Linked DNA regions of Mus musculus: regions 1 and 2 are each reported to be linked to region 3. Evidence: microRNA targets listed by miRTarBase, many of them from high-throughput screens and not tested one by one. Region 3 holds a microRNA gene; each other region holds the end of a gene's coding sequence.
The links. The annotated mature microRNA mmu-miR-152-3p reads UCAGUGCAUGACAGAACUUGG and lies in region 3 at 5,332-5,352, shown strand. An mRNA with a match to its seed (bases 2 to 7 or 8) in the 3' UTR can be bound and repressed. Matches are read on the target gene's strand: a 7mer-m8 pairs with bases 2 to 8, a 7mer-A1 pairs with bases 2 to 7 and ends in A, and an 8mer does both.

Region 1 (10,990 bases), not on the chromosome of region 3:
TGGTATGCCTTTACCAAAGAGTCGGCAAGCATGGCGGGGGTGGGGGGGGGTGGAGGGAGGGCAAACAGGAAAGACAACCCCCTAAGGACTCCTATGAACCAAGGGCTGAGGACAAGGGACAGGTAGTGAAGTAACACCTTCTTCTTCTAATAGCAGGTACAGACAGACCAGACATGAACAAACCCCACCCCACCCCACCCCACCCCACCCTGGTGCTGCTGGAGGTATAAATGAAAGATTAGCCATTGTGCAAAGTCCAAAAGTGAAGACCCACCTCTGTTCTGCCACATTGCCATCTCCAGAGGACATAGGGAGGGCCCAGTATTGCTTGGCCCCACAGGCTACAGAGGCCCATTTTGCTTACCACTCAGCTCACCAGCCCCAGGCACCAATAGCTGTCTATAGCAGACCCTGGTCCACAAACACGAAACGGAACCGAACGTTAGCTAGAATTTTGAACCAGAATTTCAGTTTGTCAAGGATGAGAGCTCTCCCAAGCCTTCTTCCATGGGCAGCAGAGCACAGAGAGGCTGTTGCCCTTTGCGCCTCACTGACCAGCCACTCAAAGCATCTACCTGTCTCAGGGACACATGCGGTGGACTTCAGAGCACTAAGGACTCCATCTGGGAAAGCTAAGGGCTTGGGGGTGACCCAGTAGGCAGCACCAGACGGGCACTGAGTTTCACTGGCTCATGGTCCCCCTCCTCTGCTCACTCCCTCCAGCCCCGAGCCCCTCTCCGGAGGTGCAGGATACCAGGCGACCAAGCAGCAGAAACCCTTCTACCTGGACCGTGGAGGACGTGGTCCGGTTTGTGAAAGATGCTGATCCCGAGGCTCTGGGACCTCATGTGGAGCTCTTCAGAAAGCACGTATGAAAGTAATGGGTCTGAAGGGCGGGCCAGGGAAAGAGAGGCATGGACCGAGGGAGGAGATCGGGATCCTCCAGACGCTGTCACTCTAGACTAAGCTCTAGCAGTGCCCTTAAGTGAGTCAGAGATGGGAGAGACAGAGGCAACCATAGGCCTGGCAGAGGAGAGCCACTGACAGATTTGTGTTTTTAAGGAATATGTTTCTCTTCTGTTCTCTCTCTTGGGCTTTGCCTGATTTTTTGCTAATCCATTCATCCATCATCCATCTATCTGTCCATTCACCCACCCATGCATCATCTATCCACCCATTCACCTACCAGTCTGTCCATCCATCCATCTCTCCATCCATCCATCCATTATCCACTCATTAACTCATCCATCTGTCCAATCCATGCATCCATGCATGCATGCATCCATCTATCCATCCATCCAACCATCCATTTACCCACCAATCCACCCATCTCTCATCTGTCCTTATCCATGTATCTGTCCACCTGTTCATCAATCATCCATCTGTCCATCCATCTACTCACCCACCCATCTACCCATCCATCCATCCACCCACCCACCCACCTGTGCATTCAACAGTCATCTATAGAACCCTGCAATATGCCAGGCAAACTGTGATCCTGTGCTCTTACTGCTTAGACCAGTGGCTTTCAATCTTCCTAATGCTACAACCGCTTAATACAGTCCCTCATGTTGTGGTAACCCCCAATTATAAAATTATTTTTGTTGCTACTTTATAACTAATATTGCTACTGTTATGAATCATGATGTAAATATCTGTGTTTTCCGATGGTGACCCCTGAGAAAGGATCAATCGACCACAAAGGGGTCGAGACCCACAAGTTCGAAACCACTGGCTTAGAGGGTTAAATGAGAAAATGCACATTAATACGTTACATGAGGCCTCACTCATATACAGAGCCTTCACATCAATGTTATAATCACGTAGGCGCTTTTGAAATATACAAAGATAGTAAGTGGGGCAAACGGTAAGAATTACTGTTACCTGCCCAGCTTACGATATTAATTCTGGATTGGTAGTATAACGAATTGCTACAAATCCAGGGTCTTTAGACAAGAGACATCTCTTATCTCTATTTCTGTGGGTCTGGAGCCTGCCTGGATCTCAGGCGTTGGCAGGGATAAATTCGTGTCTAGGTGTTCTAGGGACAATCTGCTTGCCTGCCTTTCTCAGCTTCACGACCCTCTTTAAAGCCAGGATCATCGACCCTGGTCCTCCTCAGGCTGACCTGTCTGTGGCTCTCTCTGTCTTTACCTGGATAGATGACATATACATGAGATAGTAGGAATGCAGGCGAAACTGTCTGCTTCAATCAAACAAGGGCAGGAATCTGAAAGGTGCAAGGTAGCAACTGAGTTTCCGGAGGGGCTGGGAAGACGAGGGCCTCGTAGTTGCTTGCTTTGTTTCCAAGAGCTTTCCCAGAACAAGTAGTATGCGCGCTCTAATCTACTCACCTGTCCTTAAAGTGCCCCTGGAGCACCCGCGGGGCACCCACGGGGCCATAACTACCGTTTGGCTGCTCTGACTGTCCTTTGGCTTTCCCTTCTCTCCAGGAGATTGATGGCAATGCCTTGTTGTTGCTGAGGAGCGACATGATCATGAAGTACCTGGGACTGAAGCTGGGACCCGCACTGAAACTCTGCTATCACATTGACAAGCTAAAGCAAGCTAAATTCTAAAGAGTTGGAAACAAAGCCCCACATCTCCAGGTTACTTCTGCCAGACCAGCATCCGGCCAACATCATGAGTAGACTGTCCTCTTAAACGTCGCAGCCACAACGACTGTGTCTTCTTATAGAACGTGTGCATCCTTGCCTTTTCTAATATTCCTAGTGGCCCCTTTCAGACACTCAACCGTGTGCTAGACTTGTCAGAAAAATCACAAAAAGGCTATTACAGTGTTCCTGACGTGCTGGTCACTCTTTACGGGTGCTATTTGTGCCGCGACAGAGTGGATAACTGAATGCTGTCACACAAGGAGAGCCCTGGAGGGGGCTCACAAAGTCCCTGCAGGGGCTGTGGGGACGCCCCCAGTGGCGGTGGCAACTGCTCCCTGTTCTTGGGACCGATCAGCATGAGTTTCCCTGGACTCAGCCCTGGAAGTTGTCTTCTGATGACCACCTCGCCTTGCACTATCTGGAAAACTTGAATTTTTGTTGCTGTTTTTTTGTCCGTTTGTTTGTTTTTGTTTTTGTTTTCCGCTCTCGAAGAGAAAAGGGAAAGGATGTTTTGGAGCCCTAGCTACTGAAGTCCTTCCTTGCTCCACTAGAGGGCAGACTGCTAACGAGGTTTCGGGATGCACAGACTGCGTGGCCGGGGTAGGGTTTTTATAAGCAAGACCTCGCTTGCACAGGGACAGGGAATGAAGTCCACATTGAGCACCCCAGATTGCCACTTGGGAAGAAATCAGGCTCTGTCAGGCGGGGTCCAGCTCATATCCATTACTTACTGACTTACTCGGTACAAATTCCGAAGCAGCCATCTGCCTAAACAAAGACTGGTGTCCCTTCTCTCCCAGAGTCTCACTGAGGCTCTGATATGACGGCATGCTGAAGAATCTTGGTGACATTTAGCTATGGGTATTTCTTGAAAAAAAGGCGGGGGGCGGGAACTGTCTCGACAAAGTTTGAAATAGGACATACTGATTTCTAGTTTCATGGCTGCGTTCTTAGCTGTGTGTCTGTGGCTAATTTTTCTAGTCTTCAACAAATACGCAGACGTGTTTTTATTGGGTTTAATTCAATTTACAAATAGGTTTTTACTCTTCACTGTGAAGTAATGGGAAAAAATTGATTTTCTACCCTTTGCAGCTGTGTCCAGAGAGGGGGGTGGAGCCAGGGTTTCCTAGGCAGAAGGGTGACCTCTTTACTGCCTATTCTTTATGGAATCCCTCCCCCTTTGTTTATTCTCGATGAATAGAGAACTCATGGGCACAGCCTTTTCCTTAAAGGCACATCTGGGGAAGGTGAGGGTCAAGGATAACCTAGGGTCTCCCTTGACAATAGTATGAATTTTAGAAAGGCACCTTCCCTCAGGCTGCAGTCTGAGCAAGATCTCAGCTGGCAAGTGTAGCCAGACGTCCTGGACTGTAACAAGATAAATGCGGTCTCTCAGATGGATCTACCTATTGTACCAATCAGGTAGAATTTAGGTAAAGAGCACAGGACATACTCCATGCTGTGCTATAAGGGCCCACTTTGATGTTCCCTGTTTGTGGGAGTGTGACATGACCCTGCAAGATCTTTGTTACATATACACGGGTGGTTGGACTTAAGTAAGACAGAGAAGGAGAAAATTGTCCCAGAGCTTCCCACTGAATGGAACTTGATCAGGCTGTGGATGAGCCGGATGTCTGTTATTGCTAGCATGAGGCAGAAATGACCTTGAATTAGACCTTGGAGAGACTCTTTAAGATGATAAAGCAATGAGCGGACTCTGCCTAGAAGAAGATTTTTAACTCTGGGTGCTCGCTGCTGCTCTGAAGTTAGATCCTTGTCTCAGAAAGCATCAGGCAGTTCCCACATACAGAACTGCTTGTGTGAAAGCTTTGAGATTAGACCGGTCACTTCACACAAACGTTTGCCCTTCCCTGGAGGTTCACGGTGCCTCTTCCAGGGACACGGGCTCCTTAGTGAGTGGTGGTATTAAGCTTGCCAAATGTCCTGCCTAAACTTACCCATGTCTCACTGGTGCCCCAAGTTAAAACAAGGCCAAACAAGTCAGGGGAGGCCTCTAATAATTTTTGAAGGAGAGCTAGAACCCAGTTCAAGTCTGTGGAGGAACGGAGCTGTGTCCCCAGACATGATGTCTTATTTCACACGAAGCCTTAAATTAGCTCAATTGTAGAATTCCAGATATTTAAGGTTTGGCCAAACAAAACAAAATAAAACAAAACACCAAGAAGCAATCTCATTAGTCTTGGAATGAGGGGCTGCCACATCACAGAAGGCCCAGCGGAACCAATTCTTCTTGCCTGTTTTTTCATAGAATCTAATTAGTTGACCAAATCAGCATTGCAATACTGCAAGTATAATTAATTTTCATCCCTCTCAAAAATCTTGTCAAACAGCGCAGCTAAATAGCTTCTCAAATGTAAAACATGCAAGGCCACTTCCTCTAAACAGACCTTCCAGGGTCAGACCGTAAGGGTTACCCTGGCCCAGATGAGCAGGACTTGAACTCACACCTGATAGTTCACAGGCTTGCTCTTCCAGCTGCACAGCATTGCTTCAGCTTGGAGTGGATAATGATCACATTTTGCATAATTCCAAATTAAAGAGTGTGGGTGCTCATGTTCCAAACATTTCCAATTACATTTGTCTGTTAAACACTTGGGGGAGGGAGGTTTCAAGAGAGTTCTGTTGCCTAAAGCATTTTAAATGTTTTATGAAACACATTATTCCCTTTGTGAAGATTTTAGATAAAAGATGTGGCCTGTGTGTATGAGTCTGTGTGTGTATTTGTGTATCTCTCTCTGTGTGTCTGTCTGTGCCTCTGTGTGTGTATGTGTCTGTTTATGGGGCTGGAGAGATGACTCAGCAGTTAAGAGCACTGACTGCCCTTCCGAAGGTCCTGAGTTCAAATCCCAGCAACCACACCGTGACTCACAACCCTCTGTAATGGGATCCTATGCCCTCTTCTGGTGTGTTTGAAAACAGCCTACAGTGTGTTTGAAAACAGCTACAGTGTACCCAAATATAATAAATAAATCTTAAGGAAAAAAAAAAAGAGTCGCCACTTTCTGAAACCAGATCACTATGTTTATAAAAAAAAAAAAAAAGGATGTCTCTGTGTGTGTCTGTATGTCTTTCTGTGCCTGTCTATAAACCTGTGTGTGTATATTTGTGTCTGTCTGTGTGTGTGTGTCTATGCATCTCCAGATACTGGAGTTGAAAAATCTAAGAAGTGGTTGTGAGGATAGCAGCTATTGCATGTTCTCAAATATCTTTCCAGCTTTGTAGTGCAGAGGCGCGGCATGGTCTGGTGCGGCATGGTCTGTTACGTGTAGGCATTTCCTCTTATTGTAGCAGGGCCTGTTCTGTGCACAGCTAGATGACCAGAACAGTCCTGGTGCCTAGACTTGTTCCTCTGAATCAGCTGAGTGGAAATGTCAGGACCTGAGGACCTGGATGCCGCAGGAAAGGCCTTACTGGAGAGGCCTCGGCCAGGAACAACTGCCTAAGCGTTTCACTTATGTCTGCCAGGGAGGACATGGGCCTGTTATTTCTCTTCCACAGGATTGCCAATTTTTTCCCCTTTCAGAAATAAAAGAGCAGAGAGAACGCCTCAGCAAAACCTGTGCTCAGAATTGATAACTTGGGAAGAGATGCTGGGCTGAGGGTTTGAGAATCAAACCAGATGAACAAAATTATACACTTCTTAGGAAAACCGTACAATACCGTTTGTGCCCACCGCCCCTGCCCATGACAGCCAGAACCTGATGATGCCACAGAATAATTCTTTAAATTAAAATGGGTTTAAAATTAAATGTATATTCTTTTAGAAGGGTTTGTTGAATCTCTGAAGAAAACTAGAAACACCCAATGTTCTGTTGAACACAGTCATCATTAGAAAGTCTTGAAGGACCTTCTGATCTCTCCCTGAGAACTATTCTAGAGAGAGGATACCTGGAGAGCTATCCCAGTGCATAAGTAACGGGATATGCACTCAAAAGATAACCTACCCCACTTTCCCCAGTGGAGGCAGGCTCGAACTGTTTAGATCATGGATAAAGACATGTTTTGGTTTTTTGCTTTTGTTTTTTACATAAACACACTCAGAGCTGAGTCCCTGCTCTGCTTGTGTGTTGCCACATGATTTTGCTCTGTTCCATGAGAGGTCCAGACTGGGAGCCCCTGGGGGAATCCAGCAGATGTCCAGATGTCCAGAGGCACCAACGGTCCTGCGTCCTTCCATATTGCCAAGTTAGCACCAGCTGCCCGGGAGCCCACTCTGGGCTCTGCAGAGCTAGGGATGCTGGAGCCGCAGCCCCTTTGTGTCTCTCCCTCCAAGGCTTAGTTAGCCTCATCCCACAGGATTCCTTCACGGACAATTGGAAGCTGGGTTTTTGGAAATCTAGTATTTACTTGAAAGAGGATCACTCTTATTTACTGCCACCAGTTAAAGATTAGGGCAACATGTCTGCTAACAATTTGCTTTGTGTAATTTTGTTTTAATGCTAATAAGCAACAGCTGGGACACTTCCTGTGGTAACTTCCTCTGTGGCTACAGTACAGTCAGCACACAAGACTGCACCAAGTGCTGCACTTACGAGCACACACTGGTCTGGAGACGCTGTGCTACGCAGCCAGCTGTACATTTCCCTAAGCTGTGCCCCTGGCCAACCTGCTAGACTTCCTACCTGAGACCTTGGGCTTCTTGGCACACTTACCAAGACACCGTTTCCCAGGCCAGCTGCCATTGGGACCAGGAGTTGATACTGTGACACAGGATGGCAGAACAGGAAGATGACAAAGAAGAAGAGGGCGGAGAACTGGCTTGGCAGTGACAGAATGGCGATTCTTGATAGTGTGGGGACAGCAGCATCTTTCTCTCTAAACATATCCATGAACCACTCAGGCTTGCTCTGTCACCTACTTGACCACATGGCCCGCGCCACGGCGCTGAGGCAGAAAAGTAGTCTACCAGTGGGTCCGGCACGGGAACGAACCAACAACATGCTTCTTCAAACCATGAAATGAGACATGGCGTCATTTTCCTGCAGCCGTGAACTATCAAAGGCTACTTTCACCACAAAAGGAAGCAGCCTAAAATCGTGTGATGTCTCTGCCTCCCCACCCAGGGTTGGACCGCCTTCCCTACAGTCTAGCGAAGCTCTCTGCTTGGCTTCTTCCCATCATAGGGAGTTCCCTCCCTGAGCAGCTGGCTTATCTCTCTGTTGCACAACTCTGGTTGTGAAAAAGTTTACTTCTCAGGGAGTCACAGATGTCCGTGAATCAGATACAAATATTCAAGGTGAAGTAAATTCTGAAATTTTTGTCTGTTTAATAGAGTTTATCCATGCAGTAGCCAAATCTACACCACAAACAGACATTGGCTAGTTGATCTCAACACTCGGCTCCCTGTCTTTGTGGTAGAAGAGTAGACACATATAAGAGTTGTGCCCAGAGGCTGCAGTTAGGTTTCCATTGCTACAATAAACACCATGGAAGAGCAATGTTATGGGTTGAATATGCTTGGCCTATTGGACGTGACACCATTAGGAGGTGTGGCCTTGTTTGAGTGGGTGTGGCTTTGTTGGAGGAAGAGTAGGGGTGGGTTTTGTGGTCCTATGCCCAAGTTCTACCCAGTTAGGAAAAGACAGACCCCCCCCCCTCCTAGCCTATAAAAGATAGTCCTCTCCTGGCTGCCTTCAGATCTAGACATAGAACTCTCGGCTCCTCCAGCACCATGTCTGCCTGCACACTGCCATGTTTCCTGCCATGATGATAATGGATTGAACTTCTTAAACTGTAAGCCAAACCCCAATTAAATGTTTTCTTTTATAAGAGTAGCCTTGGTCACGGTGTCTTTTCACAGCAGTGAAACCCTAACAAAGGCAAGCAACTTGGGGAAGATAAGCATTTGGATTGGTTTTGCTTTTCATCTGCCACATCACAGTTCATCACCAAGGGAAGTCAGGGTGGGAACTCAAACTGGGCAGGAATGTGGAGGCGGGAGCCAATAAAGAGGAAATGCTGTTTACTGGCTTGCTTTTGCTGGCTTACTCAGCCTGCTTTCTCATATAGCCATAGGACCACCTGCCCAGGGATGGCACCACCTACAATGGGATGGGCAATCACTGAATTTACAGCAATCACTGAAAAGATGCACTACACACTTGCCTTCAGGCCAAATTGTTGTTGAGACAGAGTCTCACTATGTAGCCCTAGCTATCCTGAAACTCACTATGTAGACCAGGCTGGTCTGGAATTCACAGAGATCCTGCCTCTGACTACTGAGTGCTGGGATTAAAGGCATTCGCTACCATGCCCAGCTATTAATTGATTGATTGATTAATTAATTAATTAAGTTCATGTGTATAGATGTTTTGTCTGTCCACAAGAAGAAGGCTTCAAATCCCATAGGACTATAGTTATAGATGGTTGTGAGCCACCATATGGGTGCTGGGGTTGAGCTCAGGAGCTCTGCAAGAGCACCCTGAACTCTCAACTGCTGAGCGTCTCTCTGACCCCTCTCCAGGCCAATCTTATGGAAGCATTTTCTCAGCTGAGGGTCCTCCTTCCTAAATGACTCTAGCTCGAGTCAAATTGACATAAAACTCGTGGTTTTGTTTGAATAAGATTGCCCCCCTCCTCCCGCCCTGTAGGCTTATATATTTGAATGCTTGGTCATCAGAGAGTGGCACTGTTTGAAAGGACTAGGAGGTATGGCCTTGTTAAAGTAGATGTGACCTTGCTGAACACCCAAACTAAAGCTGGGCATGATAGCACGCCTTTAACCCAGCACTCAGGAGGCAGAAGCAGGAGGGTCTGTATGAGTTCAAGCCCAGGCTGGTCTACAGAGTGTGTTCTAGGACAGCCAAGGCTACACAGAGAAACCCTGTCTCAAAACAACAACAACAAACAACAACAACAACAACCCAAAGCTAGGCATCCTGTCTCAGCCTCTTCCTGCTGCTTGCCAACCTGGGTGTAGAACTATTAGCTCTTTCTCCAGCACCATGTCTGCCTGGATGCTACCATGCTTCTTGCCATGAAGATAATGGACTGAACCTCTGAAACTGTAAGCCAGCCCCAATTAAATGTTGTCCTTTATAAAAATTGCCATGGTCATCATGTCTCTTCACAACAATAGAATGGTGACTAAGACAACTCACCAGCAAGGACACCAAACATGTCATAGTCTTCAAACACCATGAGAAGATTAATGAAAAAAAAATCTGTCATCTCATCAAAATGCTCTGTTCATGTAAGCAGAGAAGTTGTTCATGCTTAGGTGGTCACGTGCTACATTAACTATGAAAAAGACACTCAGAGATGGTGAGGCCCTGTATCTGTGATGCAGGAACTGAAGATGCTTTATTTTGATTAAAAACAAACAAATAAATAAGTCTATAATTTATAATAGGAAAGGAAACAGTCTACTGGAGCTTTTTGAAGGAGCAATGCATCCTACCAGCAAGGCACCTTGTTGAGTTGTAAAGTTCCATGTCTTCACTCATGTTAGTCTGACTCTTGTGTGTTTCCTTACTTGGTAAGAGAGTTTGAGCAGTAACGGTTGTTGATTCGCTTGTTGATACAACATCCTTTTCCTCATGATGCCTCTTCAAAAAGAATGCCAGATTCCTTCGGGGCCGAGTTCTCCATCCTCGCACTGATGGGGAATACCCGACACACTGGAAGTAGGTAGAAGATAACTCCACCTATCCCTTTCTGATCTTCACTCACCTCCTCCCTGGAGAACAGTTCCAGAATAATAAGGGCTCCCCTACTTCTCTAACTCCTGGCCCATCCACACGCATGTAAGTAGTTACTGGGGAACCTTAAGAGTAAAATCATGTGACTGGATTTTTTGCAAAATCAAAAAACTCGAGTGTTTCGCCTTCAAAGAAATCACTTGAAAAGCCTAGGCACATGTTCCAAGGATGCTGCATTGCTCAGAATATTTTTTAGTACATTCCTTTGGAGCTGGTCCTTAAAAAAGACAGGCCACATTCTTTCCAAGCATTGCTGAAGCCTGTTATTGTCCCTCACAGCAATGCAAAGCCACTGGGGCAGTGTCTGATGGTGCAGGAGGGACCAAAGCGAGGTCTGAAGTTCCGTGACTTCTCTCACGTTAGCCTGACTCTTTCTCGTGTGTTTCCTTACTTGGTAAGAGAGTTTGAACAACAACAGTTGTTGATTTGCTTGTTGAAATGACATCCTTTTCTTTATGTTTTTATTTTCCAATTGTTGGACTCGGGTAGAAGCGGAGAAAACTCACCTCAGAGACCCAAGCTAAAAAATGAAAGCTTTTCTGTGAGCGCAGAGAGTAACCAGTTTGGGGTCTGAATAAACTTCATCTCTGAAGGAAGATTATACAACATGTTTATAGGATGGGGACATAAAGTGGGGAGGAGCAGGGCGGG
Region 2 (10,990 bases), not on the chromosome of region 3:
CAAAGCACTTTCCTTTTTTTACCAATGACCTAAAGCTTCCTGGTTCACCCCAACACTTTCTGACCTGCTGGTTAACATCAGGGACTTGGGCCACTGGCTTTCTTAAAGCGTGAGCAGAGACTGGCAAGATATATATAGCTTCCTCCAGATCTATGAGAGATAAATTCATAGATAGCCCCCAGATACCCAGGGACTTCAGTCCCTCTTACAAGTGATGTGGCACTTACCTCTAATGGTGTCCTCTTTTTAAAGACTCTCCAGTTACCATTAGGACATGATGCAAAGCAGACACCATGCATGCGGTTGTTGTACGATACACTTGGGGAATGATGGATAAACGACCTGTACATGTTTGAAATGGGTTTTGCTTATTTGTTTGTTTGTTTTTTTCTTGAATACTTGGTTTCCACCTGCTGTTGGTTAAACACAGCTATGGAACTGGCGAGAATGGAACCGGCGGCTGTAGGTTAACTGTTGACAACAGAACCTTTAGTGTCGGATTCACTAGGGTAGTTATGGTTTGTTCTCTTGGCTTGGACAATCTTTTAAAAATATTATCTGGAATGCATATTAAAAAGTGAGTAATATTTAAAAAAAATCAGAGATGTTTTAATATGAAATTTACTGCAAATTCAGGGTTTCATCTCCTTAATACACATAGATGGGTTTTGGTAGGAGAATTCTCCAGTTAATTAATTGAGTCTCATTTCCAGCTAGAGAAGATTTCCTGTACAGAAGGCCCCTTCCCTATTGACTCCAGAGGCAAGGGGGTGGGGGGCACCAACAACTCCAATAGGCTTCACTACGCAGTAACAGAGAGGCTACCTGTAGCCACAACCCAGACCTGCCCTCCCTCCCCTTCCAACTTCAGCTGGGTCATGTCCTGGATGCCCAGTCTGGGACAGCCTTAGTGAGTGCTCCGTCCTGGCCCTCCTGACGTCAGTTCAAAGCAGAAATCAGAAAGTCTCCAGAGATGAAACCTGCCCTTAGTGGAGGCTTGGTTTAATGTAAAAAGGACCAGGGTTAAGAAGGCATAGCAATGGTTAACGGACAGGATTCTGAGCTTCGAAATTGTCTGTTTTTCCTAACCTGCTTTTACAGTGGCTGGTCTCTTGGGATTTGGCCTTGGGAAGGCTTCCTATATAAGAGTGTGCCAGAGTAAATTCCATTCCTTTGAAGATCAGCTCCGTGGTGCTGGCTTTGGTCCTGAGCATAACAGGTTTGTGGTCCGATGGAGGGATTGTAATCAAGATAATGAAAGAAGTGAAGTAGCTGAGTTAAATGATGGAAGCCTTTAGTCCCAGCACTGGAGAAGTAGGAGGATCACTGTGAGTTCAAGGCCAGCCTGGTCTACACAGTGAGTTCCAGGAGAGCCAGGGCTACATAGTGAAGCCTTGTCTTGAAAACAAACAAACAAAAAGAAGTGAAGTGAGACTTTACTCACTATAATATGAAGCACATAAATAATTTTATTTCTTAAGGAAAAACTCTTTAACCCTCAAGCTTTGATTTATTACTATTCAACTTCAATAATTATCTATTATTTAACTTAATCACTACTAATCATGCTACTTAATGTGCATTTAATGAATACCTACCACATTCTAGGCCTTGTATAAACCTCTGAGGAATGCATTGCACAATTGCTCAACATTTAAACAGTCTTCCTTACTACAGAGCTTTTCAGAGCCTTTAATCTGTCTCTCTGCCTCTGACTCTCTCTCTCTCTCTCTCACACACACACCCACACACCCACATACACACACACATACATACACACACATTCACACACATACACACACACATACACTCACATAAACACACATACAAACACGCATACACACACAAACACACACACATACACACACATACAAACACACATACACACACACATACACACACATACAAACACACATACACACACAAACACACACACATACACACACATACAAACACACACACACACACACACACTACATGTCCTGATAAAAACAGTCTCTACAGGGACATACATAGTTGGACTGAAGTGTACAGCAAGTCCCCTGCTCCTGTGGACTTGAAATTGAAAGTCAGTACTACCACAATTTTCTTATACTCTCGTCTCTAGGTTCCTCATCTGTCTAAAATGACTAGAATAACTTCCCTGGGGTGTTGTGAGAAAGGAAAATAATTATTGATGACATTCAAACAAATATTACTTCTATTGTCCTGCCACAGAACTAGTTGGAAACACAGTCCTCTGAAGACCTCTCACTTGTCACAGTGGGCTGCATCTTTTATTTTAGAGACCACCTCGTGTAGCCCAGGCTGGCCCCAAACTTGCTCTGTAGCTCAAGGATGACCTTGATCTTCATTTCTGCCTCCCTGTCTCTCCTGAGTGCTCCCGTGACAGGTATACACCACCTCAGGCTGTTGTATGTGGTGCTGGGGGTTGAAAATAGGACCTTGTATACTCCAGAAAGCACCCACTGAGCCAGTCACGCTATGTTCTACTTGAAGGGCAGCAGCAGAAACAACGTGGGACTAGATGTCAAGGTCAAGTTGTCTTCCTGGTTGCCTGACTTTAGAATGCTACCGTCCCTGGTCTGGTAGACGTGGGTGGTCTCTAACCATCACCTCTACCCTGAGTTACACACAGTCCAGAGATTCTCTGAGAAGACACCGGCAGTCCTAGGAAGATGAGACTTCAACATCTGATTTGTTTGCAACCCCTGACCTTTCCCTTTATGGGTTGCAAGGCCAGCGGGGAAGCATTAGTGTTTACTGACAACTCCAGAGTGGCTCCATCCTGGCAAAGCTGTGTTTTGGAGTCACCTTACGGTGCACTTGGCCCAGGATTCTGATGTGTGTAGGGAAAATAAAGAAAGGCAGTGTCAGCAAAGGAGGCATTGTGATGACTCTTGGTTTTGGAACAATGATGAAACCTACATTTTTCCAGAAGCCATACTTTCTGTTTCAGCTTTGCATTCTATAGCTGTTTCACCCGCCCGCTTCTGGCATGAAAAGCCCCACCGGGGCTGGCACTGGTGTAAGGTAACCCAAGGCTTAGCCCTGTGTGAAAGGCCACTACCCTCTCACCTCAGAGGCAGTAATACACGGCCATTTGCTTTTCTAACAAAGTCAAGGTATAACAAGCTCCAATCAATGTTGCAGTCCAAGAGGCGGTGTGTACTTATTGCTACTTTTTAGGCAAAAGTCTCATCGAAAAACCCCCATAGGCCTCTTCCCAGCCTAGGTCCTGAGCTTTGAGACTACAGAAGTGAGCCACTCACCTGGAATACTTTGTGATTTATTTATTTTTTTGTTGTGGTAGGAATCACTCCAGTGATTCAAGGTCAAAGAGTCACTGTGTTTAGCTTTTGTGTGACTCCAAGCACAAATACAACCATCTGTTTCAACATAAACATTGAATGGTATTTGGATAATAGTAAACTAAGAAACTATTATCCCACTTTAAAAAAAAAAAGGTGAGCTAGTGAACTATAAAATCAGACATTTCTCTGCATTGCTTACTGTGGTAAGATGAGCACTTAGGAAGATAGGAGATGGAAGACACACAGACAGACACAGGCAGACAGACAGACAGGCAGACAGACACAAGAGTTCCAATTGTCAAAGTGTGAGTCACCATCTGTTTCTGCTTCTCTTCTAGGCACTGCCTGCTTACCTGTGAGGACTGTAAAACCAGGCGTGGATTAAGCGAGAAGGCAGGGTCACAACCATCTGCTTCCTAAACTGAGTCTGTGGTTTCCAACCGTTTTTAAACCTCTGACTTTGTACACATTTAAAATTTCAAGTGTACCTTAAAATAATATACTTCTATTGAAACAGAAACCTGTAATTCTCTCACCCCTTTGAAATGCTTGCTGTAGAAGACTCTCGATTGACATGAGCGTGGCATATTCTTGGCTTCCTTGGGAGCTATCACACACTACACAGGAAAGAAGTTACACCCTGCCTTGCTTAGAGCTTCCCGGGAGATCTTTGAATAATAGCTTCTGGGTCTTCTCGCCCACCCCCACCTCCCCCAGTTCGCTCACTCTCATTTAATTTTAATTTTCAGCATTTTAAGTTTTCTGGTAGAGAACAGGAATGAGTGATGTGGAAGTTGGTTGGGAAGTCAAGACCCATAGAAAACTCATTGTCTATGGAACTAGAAATTCAGGAAAGGTTGTGTTTTAGTATTGGACGTCCATTCTGAGGTCTAGAGATGAGTGAGATCTGTAACTGGAAAGCATTTCCTGTGAAAGTGTCACCGTGAAACTGTCACCGTTCAAACCTAGGTGACCCACAGTGTGGTCAATGTGACTTGGTGGCTCATCACAATGGTGGAGCTATAAAAGTGACCATCATCTATCCATAGGTGACCTGCTTGGCCCATGGATCCATTCTCATGGTCAGCACTCAACAGTGGGTTCTTTTACCCATTATTAGTGGCCTCAAATAAAAAAAAGACAACTTCTTAACTTGGTCCCCCAGACAACAGCTTCCTGGAAGGAACACTGTAGGACTGAATTAATTAAAAAAATGAGAAACCCTGGGGCTGGAGAGATGGCTCAGCACTGACTGCTCTTCCAGAGGTTCTGAGTTCAATTCCCAACAACCACATGGTGGCTCACAACCATCTGTAATGAGATCTGATGCCCTCTTCTGGTGTGTCTGAAGAGAGCAACAGTGTACTCACATAAAATAAATAAATCTAATAAAATAAAATAAAAAAGAGAAACTCTGGGAACCTCTGGGATCCGAGGCAGCCAATACAGTGGTGTAAGTTGGATTCCTCCTCCAGCTAAGTCTAGTCATGGGAAGTTTGGTCCTCCCTTTTGAGAACCCTTTGCTTAATTTAAGTTAGCTGAGCACTGTGTGAAAGCTGTCCTTGCATCTTTGCAGCCTCTCAGGAAAATGCTTTGTCTACACATCACCATTTAAATATGGGGTATGTGGGGTGTGTGTATGTGGGGGGAGTGTCTGTGTGTGTGTGTGTGTGTGTGTGTGAGTGCGTGTGAGCACGTGTGTGCATGTGAGCACGTGTGTGAGCGTGTGTGTGCGCGCGCGTGTGTGTGCGTGTGAGCGCGTGTGCACGTGCTTTTACTCAGCACATCTGCAAGCCTAAAGCATGGAGGTAAAAAGGGAAATTTCACTAGAGGTGAAATTTCATTTGATGTGAGATATTTCATTTTGAACATCAAAAATATTTTTGTGTGAACACTGAACGAATTTGCCTGCGTTGATTTTTATATGACATGCCCTGTTTGACAGTCAATAAAATTCTATTTCTGAAAAATCACAAGGCAGAGCCAATACGCTGGCTTTTTCTTCTTTTGTTGTGTTGCAAGTGGAATTCAGGACTTTGTAAGTGCTAGACAAGTGTAGGAGGCACAACGGTCCCCGTGCTCCCAGGTAAGCACATGGAATGTTAATCATACATGGTTGTTCCATCAAAGGGAGGGAAACATACCATTATTTACCCAGAAGGCTGGGGACTGACACAGTTAATAATAGTCTAGTGACCTTTGCACTATGAGGCTAAGACCACACCAGATCCTCCCCCAGGTCCTTATCAAGGGGTTATTTTTTTTTTTTTTTTGCAGCCTATATATAGAACCCATCTATATGTAAGGTGTCACATGTAGTTAATCTATAGAATCCATGTTTATGCACGTGTAGTTTACAAAGAATTTCAATATAGTCACTTCTGATCTTTCTTTGGCTTCCTTTGTTCCTCAAGGAGATTTGTGTACACTTTATAGTGCACAAGTGATTGAGTTATCGCCAGGAACATTTTCATCAAATTGCGCTGTACTTAAATATATCTAAGACAAACTATGAAAGGCCAGACTCCCAAAGTTTGAACCAACACTGAACTTAGTTGTGTTGAACCAAACTACCTTCTCTTCCGTGGATGTTACTCTGCTGGCTGTGGTGGTGGCAGAGACATCTTCCTCACACACACTGCAGACAAGTGCTCTACAATAAACTACATCCCAGACCCTATTCTGGCTTCTCGAATACAGTTTAACTTTTGACTCTGACGAATAGAAGTTAGTGATTAAGATTACGCAGCTCTTGACATCAATTTAGCATTCAACACAGTCCCTTCCTCCATGACAGAAAGGTCCCTCTCAGGAAACAGTCAGTCAGTTACCAATCAGTCTCTGGCTACCAGGAAAAGAAGTGTCACCACCATCAAATAGAAACTCTTAAAAATTGTTGTCATCTTTATATTTCTCATTTAAACTGAGTTTATTGTTTGGGCTGTCTACTTTTTCCTTAGTGGATAATTTGTTCTTTGAGATGCTTAACAATGGTGATCTGTCTTGTAGAGGAATTTTAATGCAGCAATTGGCTGCTCCGGGAAGGGATCGCCTCCAAAGATGATCTAGGTCTATGTGATCTGGCTGGAATAACACACCTTCAATCCTTCTGGCTAGAATATAGACACATCCTTAGTACATACTCTATAACAATGACAGTAAAGTTAGTTGGTAGAAAGAAGTACCCATTTTGAAAGTGACTTCTACGGCTGGAGAGATGGCTCAGTGGTTAAGAGCACTGACTGCTCTTCCAGAGGTCCTGAGTTCAATTCCCAGCAACCACATGATGGTTCACAACCATCTGTAATGGAACCTATGCCCTCTTCTGGCGTGTCTGAAGATAGCTACAGTTCACTCACATACATAAAATAAATAAATCTTTTTTTTAAAAAGTGACATCTAATTGAGGGGCAGATGAAGTAACAAATCAGAGAAAGATTCTACAGAACGAGTTAAAGATATGCCCAATTCTCATGAGGGTAGGAAAAAGAGGTGACTTAGAGAGAGAGAAGTTGAATGCAGTGCAGTGGAGTTGAGTTTGTGCAATTCAGTGCAGGTTAGCAAAGGCAGTTGAAGCCACAAAGAGCCAGAAGATTAGAATATATTGCCAGAGTTAGTTTAAGAACAAGCAGAGCAGCCAGGCGGTGGTGGCACCCACCTTTACTCCCAGCACTTGGGAGGCAGAAGCAGGCAGATTTCTGAGTTCGAAGCCAGCCTGGTCTACAGAGTAAGTTCCAAGACAGCCAGGACTATACAGAGAAACCGTGATTCGAAAAACCAAAACCAAACAAACAAACAAGCAGAGCAGTGGAGCTACACAGAGAAACCCTGTCTCACAAACAAACAAACAAACAAACAACAACAAAGAACAAGCCAAGCAATTCCATGAGAAGCCCGTTTGAATCAGCTTGGAGAAGAGTTTGAGCTGGAACAGCTGAGTTGAACCAGCCACCAGAGTTCAGAAAGAACTAGAACAGAAGAGCTTGTTCAGCAGTGAGTGACCACAATTACATTTGGTAAATAAAAGCTACATTTACATTGGTGTATGAAGCAGTCCACGGGGAGAAACCTTCTGCTGTGGATCCTCAGTACCTGCTAGGAAGCAGGTACCTGGAGAAGTCTGCCACGGTGTTAGGGGCAGTGTCGCCATCTTTTAAACTTACCAATCACCAGCACTCACCATCCATTGGGCCATAAATTTGTGAAAGAACTTTCATGACAGGGGTTGGGGTGGGGTGATTGGATGACAAAAAGCTTGTCAAGGAACAGCAGGTCCCATGTGCAGAGATACACTTGCAAGAAAGTGAGTAAGATAAAGTGGTAAATGCTGTCCCTAGCCAGCCTCATCCAGAGACTTTCTTTCCCTGGAAGATAGAGCATAAGATGTAACCCATTATTGATGCTGCTCAGTTCAGTGTCCTGGTTAAGCTACTGAATGATGAAAATATCTTGAGTCAAAACTACACTTAGTAGACCTAGCTTACATAACAGCAGCCTTGTCCACTCTGAATGTACTAAGAACACAGCCGACAGTTGAATAGTGATCTAACAGAAAGCCTATTTTATAATAGTGTTGATTATCTCGTAAGATTTGCTGAACTCTGTAATGGATTGAGAAACAAGACATTGTATGGTTTACCCTTACTTACATTTCTATCCTTATCATAGAACACAGGTCGAATCATCCCAGCTTGGAGACCACGTGTGTATTAAAGATAATTAGTGGAAATTAAAATGTGCTATTAATTTACTTTACCCTAGGATGCACCTACAGAAGAGACAAATTTGCTATCTGAATTGACAAGCCTATCTCACACATTTGGACTTTGTCTAGAGAACATAATGAAATGTTCTTAGCAGAGAATGACGGAGGGAAGAGCCTTGCTCAGGAAGAAAACTCGAAATGATTTCATGTGACACCTCCCTAGAGCACTCCGAGGATGTCCTAAGAATGCATCTATATCTTTCAGGGCCAAGTTTAGAGGTGCCCAGGACAGTCCAGTGTCCATAGACCATCATAGGCTCCAACAAAACTAGGCTCTCTTGAAGCCCTGATAATAGGCTTGCTTACCTGTGTGCAAAGAAGGCTGGGAAGCCCCGATCCCCATGTGGTGTGTGCCCAGGTACCCAGGCAGACTTGGAGGGGTTAGTTCTAGGACACCTAATGTCCTTATGAGATTACCTAAAAGGTAGCACTCAGCAGGACCTACAATGCATGTGTGTGTGTGTATGTGTGTGTGTGTGTGTGTGTGTGTGTGTATATCTGTGTGTGTATACATGGGCTGAATGCATCAGTGAACCATTGTGACAATGTCAAAGGCACAGAGTCAGAGAGTGAATAAATACTAAGCTTCTTAAAGTAGTAAGAATAAAGACTTGTTCTATGCGGGGCAGGGGGGGGAGTATATTTATTTCTTGGGTTATACACAAGGAGATGGCTGGGAAAGATATTTAAATTTTGGAGCAGGACACGTAGTTGTGTACCGTTAACCCCAGCACTTGCGAGGCAGATTCAGGGTGATTGATCTCTGTGAGTTTGAAGTCAGCATGGTATAAATAGCGAGTTCCAGGACACACAGAGCTATGTTAAGAGAGACCTTGTCTCAAAAGAAAAAAAGAAAATGAAAAGGGAAGGAGGGAAGGAATGGAAGGGAAGGAAGAAAGAGAAAGAAAAGAGGAGAAAGAGAAAAAGAAAAAAAATGAGGTCAAATAACCAACTCCATTAGCTAAGGCAAACACTTGTCTCTCATATTTTCCCTTATTTGTGTGAACCTGGAGTTCAAAGCTGGAATTGAAGTGTATTCTACATAGAATATTTAATAATAATAATAATAATAAAAAGCAGGATAATTACCCTATGCTTGTTACCTTCATCTAAACATAACTTCCAACAGGATTTTATATACACCTATTCATTATATACACATTATATGTTTATAACACGACATAATGAATATATATAATGCTTCTTACGGTTTTGACACGTGCACGTGGGCAAGGACGCTGTTTCCATGCTGGCCCAGGAGATGCTCTCCATTTTCCCTTAGCATCACAAAAGGAACAGAATGCGGCCTAATGAAGTGCAAAGGCCTAATGAAGTGCAATCGTCCTGCCTTTAATACTCAGTGCTAACTACCAATTAGCAACAACTTCTCCAAGTTTTTCAATCAGAAAATGTAATTTTGTATATTTAGAATTGGTCTGGAGTCCAGGATCAGGGAGATTATAGAGGCAAGGAGCCTATGAAATACAGAAATGTCCTCTGCTTTTCTCCCTCATAGAAAAACTTCAATCTTTAATTTTCCCCTTCCTCTCAGCCTTTCCCCCACCCCACCCACAGGGAGGTTGAGGCTAGACTCTAAGTTACGGTATGTTTAGGGTGACCTTGAACTCTGATCCTCTTGCTTCCTCTCCGGAGTGGTGGGATTTCAGGTGTGTGCCGCCATACCCAGTTGTGGTGCTCGGGACTGAACCCAGGGCCTGGGTATTCCCGGAAAGCACCCTCCTGACCTACATCCTAGCCCAAATCTTCAATTTCCCGGGGTTTGATGCAAAAAGGTTTTGAACTGTTTCAAGACCTTCCTGGAGATCAGCTGGGCGGTACACTGGATTGCACTCAATCATATACTTAAAACACTGAATGTGTGCACTCTGCGGAGGCTCTGCCTAGGACATGAGAGTGAAATGGTGAGATCAACCAACAACACTCTGGTGGTTACGCCTGCCTGTTCCCAGGCTTGAGACCACCGAGTACCACTACCCTATTCCATGCGGAGGTCACTTCTGCACTCAGCTGGTAGGCGAGACTCCAGGATCTCCATGTGACCTTCCTAAGGAAGAACACCTGCTGCCCCTTGCTTCAATGCAGTCCATAGCCCAGCAGCTCCATTTTGCAGAAGAGCCCTGTGCAGGGCTCTGCTTTTAGGCCTTACTGCACCCGGCCAGAAACTCCTTCAGGACAGGATGTTTGACTTTGGTGTCAGATGCCAGGAACTGGAGTTTGGAATGATTATAAGCCACCATGTGGGTCCCTGGAGTTGAACCCCAGTCCTCTGGGAAGAGTAGCAAGTGCTCTCAACAGCTGAGCCATCTCTCCAGTCCCATTGTTTCCACTTCCACATCCGAGTATGTGGTGTTCCTGGTAAGTGCTTAATTTTTATTGGTAGAATGTTTTACAGGACTAAGGTACTTCTCCAGCCTTTTGAACGAATAACCTTTTGGGTGTAGGGTCTGTCTTGAGCCCTTTCTAAATAAGAACCTCAAATAGTGACTTAGTTCATAAAGAGATATTATCTCACTTCTAAACATCGGTGGGAAAGGAAAGGAGGTGGGGAACACATGGCAAACAGTGACCCTGGAAGGTGGGAATCAGCGAGGACCATCAAGCAGCGACCGACCCTAGCATCTCACGTGGAATTCAAAGGTACTCTCAACTAACAGTGGTTCTCAAGCCAATCTCAGCTATGTAAGACTCGTCTCAGAAAACCAAAACAAAGCACCATCAAAAATAACTGATAACGGGCTGGAGAAATGGCTCTCAGTCAAGAGAACTGGCAGCTCGTCCAGAGGTGCTGAGTTCAATTCCCAGCAACCACATGGTGACTCACAACCATCTGTTAACAGGATCTGATGCCCTCTATGGCATGCAGGTACATATGCAGATAGAGCACTCATAC
Region 3 (10,990 bases):
CCTGCAGCCTGAGGAAAAGCCAAATCAATTGTATTGACCTAGCCAGCTCAGTCAATAGGAGTGAGGACTAAAAAGACAAAAGACAATTAGACAACGACGTAGCATGACCCCAGCCAGTTCCGAGGCTGTGGCGGGTTTATTTATTTATTTTTCCAACCTGCTTTTATACCATTTTAATTACATGCAAGTAATCAGGCCAAGCAGTACAATAAACACAAATAGTCAAGGAACAAGCAAAGCAATAAACAACATCCTGTGATCACCGTTTCTAAGGGCTTATTAGGATGACCAAGATATCCGAGCCTACTTCCTTGTCCTAGTCTAAAGTCATACTCTTGCCGGAAGCCTACTTCCCCGTTCTAGCCTAAAATCAGATTCCTGCCTGAGCGAGCTTCCTTGTCATGGCCCAAGGTCAAATTTCTGCCTGAAGCCCACTTCCTTGTCCTAGCCCAATGTCAGATTCCTGCCAAGCGGCCCCAAAAGCTCTCCACATTGTATAATATATCCATCCCGCATGACCACCATGATTCTCATGATTTAGAATCCAGACAAAGTGCCCAAAGACTGGGTCCCCACCATGCACATGATGCAGCATATATATGTTGACTAATCGTCTGCGAGGAAGACGTGGTCACACTTTCACAGAAAGGGTACTAGGGTGTCTTGCTAGCTCACTGTTACTTTTTTCTGTCCCGAGTTCAAGTCTTACGTGTTTGTTTAGTTGGATTATTGTTGAAACATTTGTTTATTGTGTATGTGTATGTGCATTTGTGTGTGCATGCCTAAGGCATGTCTTTAATCCTCGTGCTTGCTCTTAGACCCAGGTAGGGACTGAGGCACATATCTTACATACCAAAGCAGGTTTTCAGGCTGGTGAGATGGCTCAGTGGGTAAGAGCACTGACTGCTCTTCTGAAGGTCCTGAGTTCAAATCCCAGCAACCACATGGTGGCTCACAACCACCCATAATGAGATCGGACACCCTCTTCTGGTGTGTCTGAAGTCAGCTACAGTGTACTTATGTCTAATAATAAATAAATCTTTGGGACAGAGCGAGCAGGGCCAACTGGAGTGAACAGAGGTCCTAAAAATGTAATCCCCAACAACCACACTATGACTCACAACCATCTGAACAGCTACAGTGTACTCACATACACAAAATAAATAAATCTTAAAAAAAAAAGGGGGGGTCTGGTGAGATGGCTCAGCGGTTAAGAGCACCGACTGTTCTTCCAAAGGTCCCGAGTTCAAATCCCAGGAACCACATGGTGGCTCACAACCATCCGTATCAAAAATCTGATGCCCTCTTCTGGAGTGTCTGAAGAAAGCTAGTGTATACATAATAAATAAATAAATAAATAAATAAATAAATAAATAAATAAATCTTTAAAAAAAAAAAAAAAAGCAGGTTCTCCCAGCATCCCTCAGTCCCTACCTGGCATTCCCTGCATCCAACCCAGTACTTTCCAGCCCAGAGGTTGGCCTGCCCTTCCCTGAGAGGCTCCTCCCTATATAAGCCAGACATTTTGCGCTTGCTCTCCTCTTCTCTTCTCTTCTCTTCTCTTCTCTTCTCTTCTCTTCTCTTCTCTTCTCTTCTCTCTCTCTCTCTCTCTCTCTCTCTCTCTTTCTCTCTCTCTCTCTCTCTGCAGCATACACCCTTTCTTTGCCTCCCCCAATGTCCCTGGCCTCAGGCCAGTGAACTGGCTTGAGAGCAACTTCCCAATAAACCTGCCTTTAATATATTCTAATCTGGTTTGAATTGACTCACTTCACTGGCCGAGAAATAACCTCTCACCCAGTACTCAGGATGCCGAGGCAGGAGGATTTCTCTAAATTTGAGGCCAAGTTCCAGGAGAACAAGGGCTACACAGAGAAATCCCAATTTGAAAAACAAACAAACAAAAGGAAAAGAAAAGAAAAGAAGCTTTGGGGCTGGAGAGACAGCTTAGTGGTTAAGAGCAGTGACCCAGCACCCACATGGCTGCTCACACCTATTACAGTTATTGTATGGGATGGCTTGCGCTCCACTCTATCCCACATAGTTCCTGAGTAAAAGCCACAAGCTGTTTGCCCTCTGCTGGGCAGGTTCTGAGCTATTCTACCTACATCCCAGCCATCAGCTCTGCGTTCCTTGCTGTTTGAGTCTCTCTTAGCTAGCTCTGCCCCATGTGTGTCCTCGGGGAGAATTTCTCTTGGCCACATACATGTTCCTGGTCCATCCTGTTCTCATGGCTACCTCCTCCTCTCTCCCCCTTCTCTGTTCCCTTCTCATGTTCTCTCTGGAGACCCTCACTCAATCCTAAGTCCCGCCTTCCTTTCCTTTCTGACCAGTCATAAGCTCCAGCCGTTTATTGACCAATCAGGGACTATTGGGGAACATTCTTTATAGCACATAGGTTAATACAGTGCCCTGAGATCAGGTTACAGTCTGGATAGGGGTGCAGAACTCAGCTTCTGAACACACAGCATACAAGACTAACCCCAACACACATCTGACTGTAACTCTTGTGGCACTCTTCTGACACTCTCACATTGATATACATGCAGACAAAACACCAATGCACATAAAATTAAAATAATTTATATATTTTAGTCAGAAGACTAATTAGTTCTTCCTCCTACCATGTCCATTCTGGGGATTAAACTCAGGCCAGAAAGAAAGTGTGGCAACAGACTGCAGTGGTGAGAGCCAGCAAGTGAGAAAGAGTAACCAGCAGAGCAGCCTTTCGATGAGTTATTATATTATTATTATTATATCATCACTGAAAATCTATAGACCAGGCTGGCCTTGAACTGCCTGCCTCTGCCTCCCAAGTGCTGGGACTAAAGGTGTATACCTATACCACACCACACCCAGATTATTATTATTATTATTATTATTATTATTATTATTATTATTATTTATTGAAACAGGCTCTCCCTATGCAGCCCTAGCTAGCCTAGAACTTGCTGTGTAGACCAAGTTGGCTTAAAACTCACAGAGGTACACCTGTTTCTGCCTCCTAAATGCTGGGATTAAAGGCATGCACCACCATACCCAGCAAAGTTTGTTTTTTTTTGTTTGTTTTCTTGCTTGCTTTTGTGTGTGCTAGCTTCTCCATATGTGCACCACATCTGTGGAATGCCCAGGGAAGCTAGAAGAGGGTGTCAGATCCCCCTGGAACCGGAGTTACAGGTAGGTGTGGGAACTGAACTTAGGTCTCCTGCAAGAACAGCGAACAGTCTTGACTATGGAGCTGTCTCTCCAGTCCCCTTGGTGAGGATATTCAAGATGAAACTTTCAAGCCACTAAGATCACTCGGTAGATAAACGCACTTGCCATCAAGCCAGACAATGTAAATCCAACTCACAGGACCTAGACGGTAGATGGAGAGAAGTGACTCCTTTAAGCTGTCCTCTGATCGCCACGTGAGCCCTGTGTCACACCCTCCCCTCATCAATAATTACTAAGTAAAATAAAAGCGTAAACAAAAGGATCAGTAAGAGTAATTGTTAAAAAACAAAAAAAGGTGAAAGTTGGAAAGAGAAGTCTTAAGCAGAAGGAAGTCTGGTGTGAGCGACTGTGATGTTCTACACTGAGGCTGTCAAGGGCAGAATGGGAAAACCCGTGGAACCCTCCTACCCAACTAATTAGCCCAACCAGCTTGAAAAGGTCACACGAAGTCTGACTCCTCTCAATGGGTATGTCTGAAAACACCTCCCTAGGCACGGTGACTTCTGACATACAATGAGAGCGCTGGCTCGAGTATAAGACACATCTGTCAGTGTTGTGAATGGCTGGCTGCCCAAGCACCAGTAACTACCTCACTGTATGTGGTCATACTCTGGCCGGGTTAGTCCACAGGCTCAAGCTGGACTTCAGGTGTGTTGTGACCCTACTGGCTTCATCCACCTCTGGGTCTTGAAAAATGTCTGGCGGAGGTGTCCTTCAGCCCATGGTTCTTTTCCCCAGGTACTATGAGGGGAAGCGGGGAACTCTTCCGAGTGGAGAGGTCTCACTGACAGGCTCTGTCTTGAGATCAAAAAGGTGACTTGAGGAGCTGGAGAGATGGCTCAGTGGTTAAGAGCCCTGGCTGCTCTTCCAGAGGTCCTGAATTCTATTCCCAGCAACCACATGGTGGCTCACAACTATCTATAATGGGATCTGATGCCCTCTTCTGGTGTGTCTGAAGACAGCGACAGTGTACTCACATTAAAAAAAAAAAAAAAATCTCAAAAATTAAAAAAAAGAGAGTTCTTCAGCACTCGGGAGGCAGAGGGAGGCGGATTTCTGAGTTCGAGGCCAGCTTGGTCTACAAAGTGAGTTCCAGGACAGCCAGGGCTGTATAGAGAAACCTTGACTCGAAAAACCAAAAAAAAAAAAAAAAGAGAGAGAGAGAGAGAGTTCTTTTTTAAAAAAGTGACTTGAACTATTTGTTCCAATGATACCTACTAGGAGGTCCTGAGGACAAAGTGAACCTAAACTGAAATTTGGGCTGTCCCAGAACAGCCACATGGAGACCTCTGTGCACCAAAGCCACAGGCGCCCTAGGCCAGAAGAGGCAGTAAGTGGGAAGAAAAGAGTAGGCTCTGGTTCACCTGAAAGACTGGGAGGTGCACAGAGGAGCCCAGAGGGAAGAATCCAAGTAGGGAGACGAGGTTCTGCAACGACGTGGGGGTCGGGCAGAAAGCTCGCCCAGAGAGAGAGGACGCACACAGAGGCCAGCCACGCAGGACTGGGCGGAGGGGCGGCGTCGCGGGGGGCGGGCACGGGGCGGGGCGGCGCTGTCAGTGCAGGCAGCGAGCGGAATGCAGCGGCCGGAGGCCTGGCCACGTCCGCACCCGGGGGAGGGGGCCTCAGCCGCCCAAGCCGGGGGCGCAGCGCCGCCCACCCGAGCCACGGAACAGCGGGTAGGGAGCACGGAGTGTGGGGTCCAGGGGCAGCAGGATCGGTGGTCGGGGGCAACTGATTTACCTCGGGCTTCTAAGCTGGGAACTTTGTGCCACCACTGCCCAGCCCCGGAGAGGGAGCCCGGGCCCAGGAAGGGGAGAAAAAGTTTGTCCTGGAGCGCACGGGCGAGGAGGCCTTGCCTGAGTGGAGTGTCGCAGGAGGGGCTGAAGTTCTGGGGAACTCGCCGCAGTTATAACCGACTTGGGTGGCCGGGATGGAAGCGAGATTCTGGCGGGACGAGGGAGGAGTGGGAGTGGCGAGGTGGTCTGGTTGGGTTCCCTTGCTCCAGAATGATGGCCGCGCGCATCTGGAACTGGGGGTCAGCTGGACATAAGGAGGCTCGTCGCCGCTGTTCCCCGGGCCTAGGTTCTGTGATACACTCCGACTCGGGCTCTGGAGCAGTCAGTGCATGACAGAACTTGGGCCCGGTAGGACCTTCTGCACCCAGCGGACTCAGCGCCCACTCCTCGGACCTGCAGTGAAACATCTGTCTGGGAGTGGAGTGGGCACCGGAAATGGTCCATGTGGCACGGGGTTGGGCTGGAACCAGCTATGGGTTGGGGATTAGCTGGCTCCATAGAGCCCTGACTCGGTGTCCACTTTGAGTCAGGGGTTCCTTTCCCTTGTCACTTTCAGGAACCTTCTCTCTACACCATCAAGGCTGTCTTCATCTTAGATAATGACGGGCGAAGGCTGCTGGCCAAGGTAACCCCTCCCCGCTGGAACCTCGAAGACAGTGCCATATGTCCAAGACAAGCGGTCCCCACCCAGCCCTTTTAACTCCACCTATAGGAGAAACTCTGCATTTTGGGTGGCAGAACAGCCCAGCTTAGATTCTCTAGAGGTCACTTTGTCCACACTATGCTTTATCAGTCTAACAGCGAGGGGCTGGGTGCGTGAGTGGGGATCCCTTCGGTTTCTTTCTCATGTTCCCTGGCGAGTCTTCTCCTTGTCCTTGTCCTGGCCAGCTGCATCCTTGGCGTGGGACGCTCCACCAAAGGGATCAGTGGATAGTTGAGCCTGCGTCCTAGGGATCTGAGTTCCTAATCCGAGTAGACAAAGTCGCCTATGTGTATTTCAGCTAGGTAAACACGAAGGACTTAGCATAATAATGTAGTAGAATCAGGTGCGATTGGGGAGACCATCTAGTCTCCCTCTTTCACTTCACAGATGTAGACAATGAAGTCTAGTGACGCTAAGTAAGTTGCCTAAGGTCACAGGGTTAGTCTCACGATTGCCACCAGGACTCAGGATTTAGATGTGAGGCTCAGGTAGTTTTCCTCGAACTCCCATTCAGTTATCCGGTATCCATTCTACATGGCCTGGGTGAGATGAGCTAAAACTACATTTAAAGCTAAGTTTCAGGGTAGATCAGATGGCTCAGTGGGTAAGGCTGCCAAGCAGCCTGACAGCTTGAGTTGGGTCCTGAGTTCACATAGTTGAAAGAGGAGCAAATTCCTCAGGTTGTCCTCTGACCTCTATTCTTGTCCCTCTACAAAACACACACACACTAAATAAATAAATAAATAAATAAATAAATAAATAAATAAATGTTAAAAAAAAGAAAAAGAAAAGACTATAGAAAGGAAGAAAAATGCCCTAAAATTCTGCTACCTTGAAGGCCAGGCAATGGTGCTTGCTTTGAATTCCAGCATTCGGGAGACAGAGGCAGGTGAATCTCTGTGAGTTTGAGGCCAGCCTGGGATACATAATAAGACCTGTTTCAAAAACAAATGCAAAAACTCAATAGTAAATAAATAAATAAATAAATAAACAAACAAGGGCTGGCGAGATGGCTCAGCTGGTAAGAGCACTGACTGCTCTTCCAAAGGTCCTGAGTTCAAATCCCAAAAAACACATGGTGGCTCACAACTACCACTAATGAGATCTGATGTCCTCTTCTGTTGCATCTGAAATCAGCTACAGTGCACTTATGTATAATAATAAATAAATCTTTTTAAAAAATAAATAAATAAATAAACAAAATTCCTGCCATCAATGTAATTAACTGTAACAGAAATTTAGTACTACTTAAGTTTTGATTTGTGTTGTGTTTTGTTTTGTTGTGGACCAGGTCCTGTTTTTCCTGCTTCTGCCTCTTGAGTGCTGAAATCACTGGCAAGTGTGGAACACCATCCCCTAGTTTTTTGTTTGTTTGTTTGTTTGTTTGTTTGGGGTGTGTGTGTGTATGTGTGTGTGTGTGGTTTTTGAGACAGGGTTTCTCTGTGTCACCTTGGCCATCCTGGAACTCAGTCTGTCGACCTGGAACTCAGAGAGTAGCCTGCCTCTGCTTCCTGAGTGCTGGTGTTGACAGATGCCACCACAACCAGCCCACAACCAGATTAATTTTGTTTGCCTGTTTTGTGTTTTTGAAACAGGGGGTTACTTTGTTGGCCTGGAACTTACTGTGTAGCCCAGGTTAGCCTGGAAGTCACACAGTGATCCTACCTCAGCCTCCCAAGTGCTGAGATTGCATTTGTGAGCCATACTATTCGGTTTTTTTCTTTTTGAGACGGGGTCTCGTGTAGTCAAGGTTGGCCTAGAACCCCTGATCTTCCTGCTTCTTCCTCCCAAGTGCTGGGATTGCAGGCATGTGACACCACCCCCAGCTATAACATCTAAATTAGTTATTAAATATGTTAAAGCCTTTTCGGTCTTCTTTAGCATTCAAATGAGTTTGTTCACCATTGTAGGAGACAGCAGAGAGACTACTAACTTGCCTGCAGAATTGACTGTGGGATGCAAAGTTCACATGCAGAAATTTGAGCTGACCACACCTTGCTTCAGCCAATGGGCAGAGGTGGATTGGCCCTGCCAAAGTTTCTGGGGCCTCCTTCTAGAAGGTCCTATCCTTGTTATATATTAAATTGCAGATGAAGCAGTGGTGAGGCACGCCTTTAATCCCAGCACTTGGGAGGCAGAGGCGGGCGAATTTCTGAGTTTGAGGTCAGCCTGGTCTACAAAGTGAGTTCCAGCACAGCCAGGGCTATACAGAGAAACCCTGTCTCGAAAAACAAAAACAAAAACAAAAAACAAAAAAAAGAGATTTATTTATTGATTTTATGCATATGAATACACTATAGCTATCTTCAGACACACCAGAAGAGGGCATCGGATTCCATGACAGATGGTTGTGAGTCACCATGTGGTTGCTGGAAATTGAACTCAAGATCTCTGGAAGAGCAGTCAGTGCTCTTAACCACTGAGCCATCTCTCCAGCCCATTTCTCTACTTTCATTTCTCTTCCCTTGGAATTTGTTTATGGGGACCAAGGAGAAGATAGTGCTGGGAGGGAGGTGACAAGGAGGTGCAGCCTGGCCCCTGATGCTCCCTGCTAAGCCCTCTCCTGAGGCAGGAGCTAGCTCCATGCAATGGCTATTGTCTTCTCTTTCTCATAGTATTATGACGACACATTTCCCTCCGTGAAGGAGCAGATGGTTTTCGAGAAAAATGTCTTCAACAAGACCAGCCGCACCGAAAGTAAGGCCCACCCATCCTCCACGGAAGCTCTCAGATGACTGACCACCAGTGTCTGTCATCTTCTCCATCCGGACACGTCTGTCCACATCTGTTCTTGTTGGCCTTCCACACCCACAAGCCATTGCCTTCTCCTCGGAGGCTCTTTGTCTCTCTTCCCCAGCTGCGTTTCGCTCCCTTCTTTCAATCATCCCGGAAACCTTCGCTCCCCATCCTGTTCATCCGCACCCCTCCTCTCAGCTGAGGAGGCCGACTGTGTGCCCCCTACACACACTTGGATCTGGTCCCAGGGCATTGCATGGATGGAGGGTGGAGGGGTGGGGCAGGGGGAGGTCAGCCTTAGGCTGGGTTTGTTGACTCTTCAACAGGAGGTCTCTTCTCAAGACATACCACAAGGATGAGCAGCCTCCTGGTAATGGTAGTCTGGCCAGAGGTCCTTGAGAAAGGAAGTAGAAAACAAAGGAAGAGGCCTGGGGAAGCAGAGACCAGGCTAGCCCCAGGTTGGGGTTGGCGTGTGCTGATCTGAGAGCCTTCCCCCTTCCAGGTGAAATTGCATTTTTGGGGGGCATGACTATCGTCTACAAGAGCAGCATTGACATCTTCCTGTATGTGGTGGGATCTTCCTCCGAGAATGAGGTGAATTTCAGAGATTGGGTGACAAGAAGGGTCTGTCCTGGGCTGGAGGTGGGTTATGAAGGCTCACTGTTGGTACTAGCAATAGGTCTGGGGGTAGAAGGACATCCAGAACGGGTCTCTCTGTAATCATACACATCCGTAATGTTCCTTAGGTCCCTTGGGACCCAGAAATGAAATCTTCACACCTTCTGTAGGGAGCTGTTGCTTCTTGCTGAGCGTATTTTGAGAAGGAGACACCCAAGGGATCACTCCAGTGTCCCGCAGCCCAAACACTAGTTTCCCCCTCTCAAATCAAAGAGTCATTAGCCTCCAGCCAAGCCCTCTCTGACTTAGGGAATGCTTCCCGTCTGGCCCACACAGGGAGCTCAGAGGCCCACTTTGGACCTCTCAGCCTCAGCTCTCTTCTTATCGTCCTCCCACTCTCTCCTCCTCAGCTGATGCTCATGTCTGTGCTTGCCTGCCTGTTTGACTCTCTGAGCCACATCTTAAGGTAAGTGAGACCCTCCGAACCCCAGGGCCCCAGCCCCCGGGGCCTTTCCCTTTGTCTCAGAGGAGAGGCTGTTTTGCCCTGCTGTCCTGCTGGAACCCCTGCAAGTCTTAGAACCAGAATAACTTCCTTCAAGGCCCCTGACACCCATGATGCCCCCAGGCAGACCCATGCCCAGGGTATGATCAGATATCAAATCTCAAGACACTGACTTAGCTGAGGTTACAAGTATTCGTGTCAACAAAAGTCCCCAACACAGGGAGAGGAAGGTCTTGTTACACATGGCCCACACTGACCTCCTCTCAGTCCCTCACAGTCTCCTGTGTGCTGGAATTACAGGTGTGTACCAACATGCCCCACTGTAAACAGTATTTTTAACTTTAAACTCAGAGTTGGTTTTTCCCAAATCCCCAGTTACTGATACCTACCTAGGAACATAGTCTAGACAAACCAATCTAGGATGACCTTAGCCTACTCTGGCACCTCTCTGTTCCTACTGCCTTTTATCCTCCTGAACAGGCCTTGTTCGGAAGGGATGCTGGAGAGGAGCTGCCTCCCTTAGAGGGGGCGTGGTTCCTCTTGGCTACCAGAAAGCTTAGGCTCTTGTGTCTGCCCTCAGGAAGAACGTGGAGAAACGCTGGTTGCTGGAGAACATGGACGGAGCCTTCTTGGTGCTGGATGAAACTGTCGATGGAGGGTGAGGAGGGGACTGGGAGAAGAGATGTTGGGAGCACCCTGGTCCAACTCTATCTGGCCAACTCATCTTCCCTTCTTCTACCTATTCCTAGTGAGCCTCTAACCTCATTCCTCCCTACTCGTGAGGGCAGAGGGTGAAATCATTATTAGTCCAAGTCAAGTCAAATGGGAGAGTAGCCTGAGAGTCACCTACCGTGTGCAGCCAAATAGGTCAAGTATGGGGAAAGTTCAGGTTGATCTCCAATGCTGACGAGGAATACGGACACCTGTCCCTTTCTGAGAGGACCTCAGAGAATCCTCCCCCAACACCAGCAAGATACATGGCATTGACTCTCTGTGAGTCTATTTTCCTTGTCACTAAAATGGGAAAGAAAATGGGAAAGAAGCCAACAGGATGGTGAAGGTCCTACAAAATGGTGTGTATAGTATAAAGCCCATAGTTTTCCTTGGTAGTTGGGGGATTTTTTTTTCTCTCCTTGGTAAATATTGTCTCTCATTAATATGCTAGCAGACTTCTAAATGATTGGGAGCCTTTATGAGAATGGTTGGTTAGTAGAATCTCTTGGAAGAGGGGACAATAATCAGGGGAGAGGAAAGTTCTGACTCTGGTCACAGAAACTTCGAGAGTGCCTTTCCCCCACCTGGCCTTCTAACCTCAGTGCTGGAGGCACAGGGATTACAGCATCCTTGAAACACCTGCCCATTTTATGGAGGAGGAAATAGAGGCTCAGAGATTCTAGTAACTTATGGAAGAGCACACAGCAA

Region 1: miRTarBase lists Scml4 as a target of mmu-miR-152-3p. Seed matches in the 3' UTR shown: 7mer-A1 at 5,449-5,455.
Region 2: miRTarBase lists Ociad2 as a target of mmu-miR-152-3p. Seed matches in the 3' UTR shown: 7mer-A1 at 4,560-4,566.

The regions. Positions count from the first base shown.
Region 1 is chr10:42,955,166-42,966,155 of GRCm38, forward strand. It overlaps Scml4 (Scm polycomb group protein like 4), which reads left to right. Exons shown (of 9, transcript NM_172938.3): 8 at 724-869; 9 at 2,454-5,617. The coding sequence ends at 2,579. Among named protein-coding and RNA genes, the nearest start is that of Gm5079, 31 kb to the right of the region's middle.
Region 2 is chr5:73,316,510-73,327,499 of GRCm38, reverse strand. Ociad2 (OCIA domain containing 2) reads left to right here. Exons shown (of 7, transcript NM_026950.4): 6 at 1,102-1,219; 7 at 3,653-5,302. The coding sequence ends at 3,734. Among named protein-coding and RNA genes, the nearest start is that of Ociad2, 17 kb to the left of the region's middle.
Region 3 is chr11:96,845,108-96,856,097 of GRCm38, forward strand. It overlaps Mir152 (microRNA 152), which reads left to right and starts at 5,286; the gene lies at 5,286-5,358. Copz2 (coatomer protein complex, subunit zeta 2) reads left to right here and starts at 4,769. Exons shown (of 9, transcript NM_019877.2): 1 at 4,769-4,889; 2 at 5,566-5,634; 3 at 8,328-8,409; 4 at 8,951-9,042; 5 at 9,477-9,532; 6 at 10,149-10,226. The coding sequence starts at 4,788.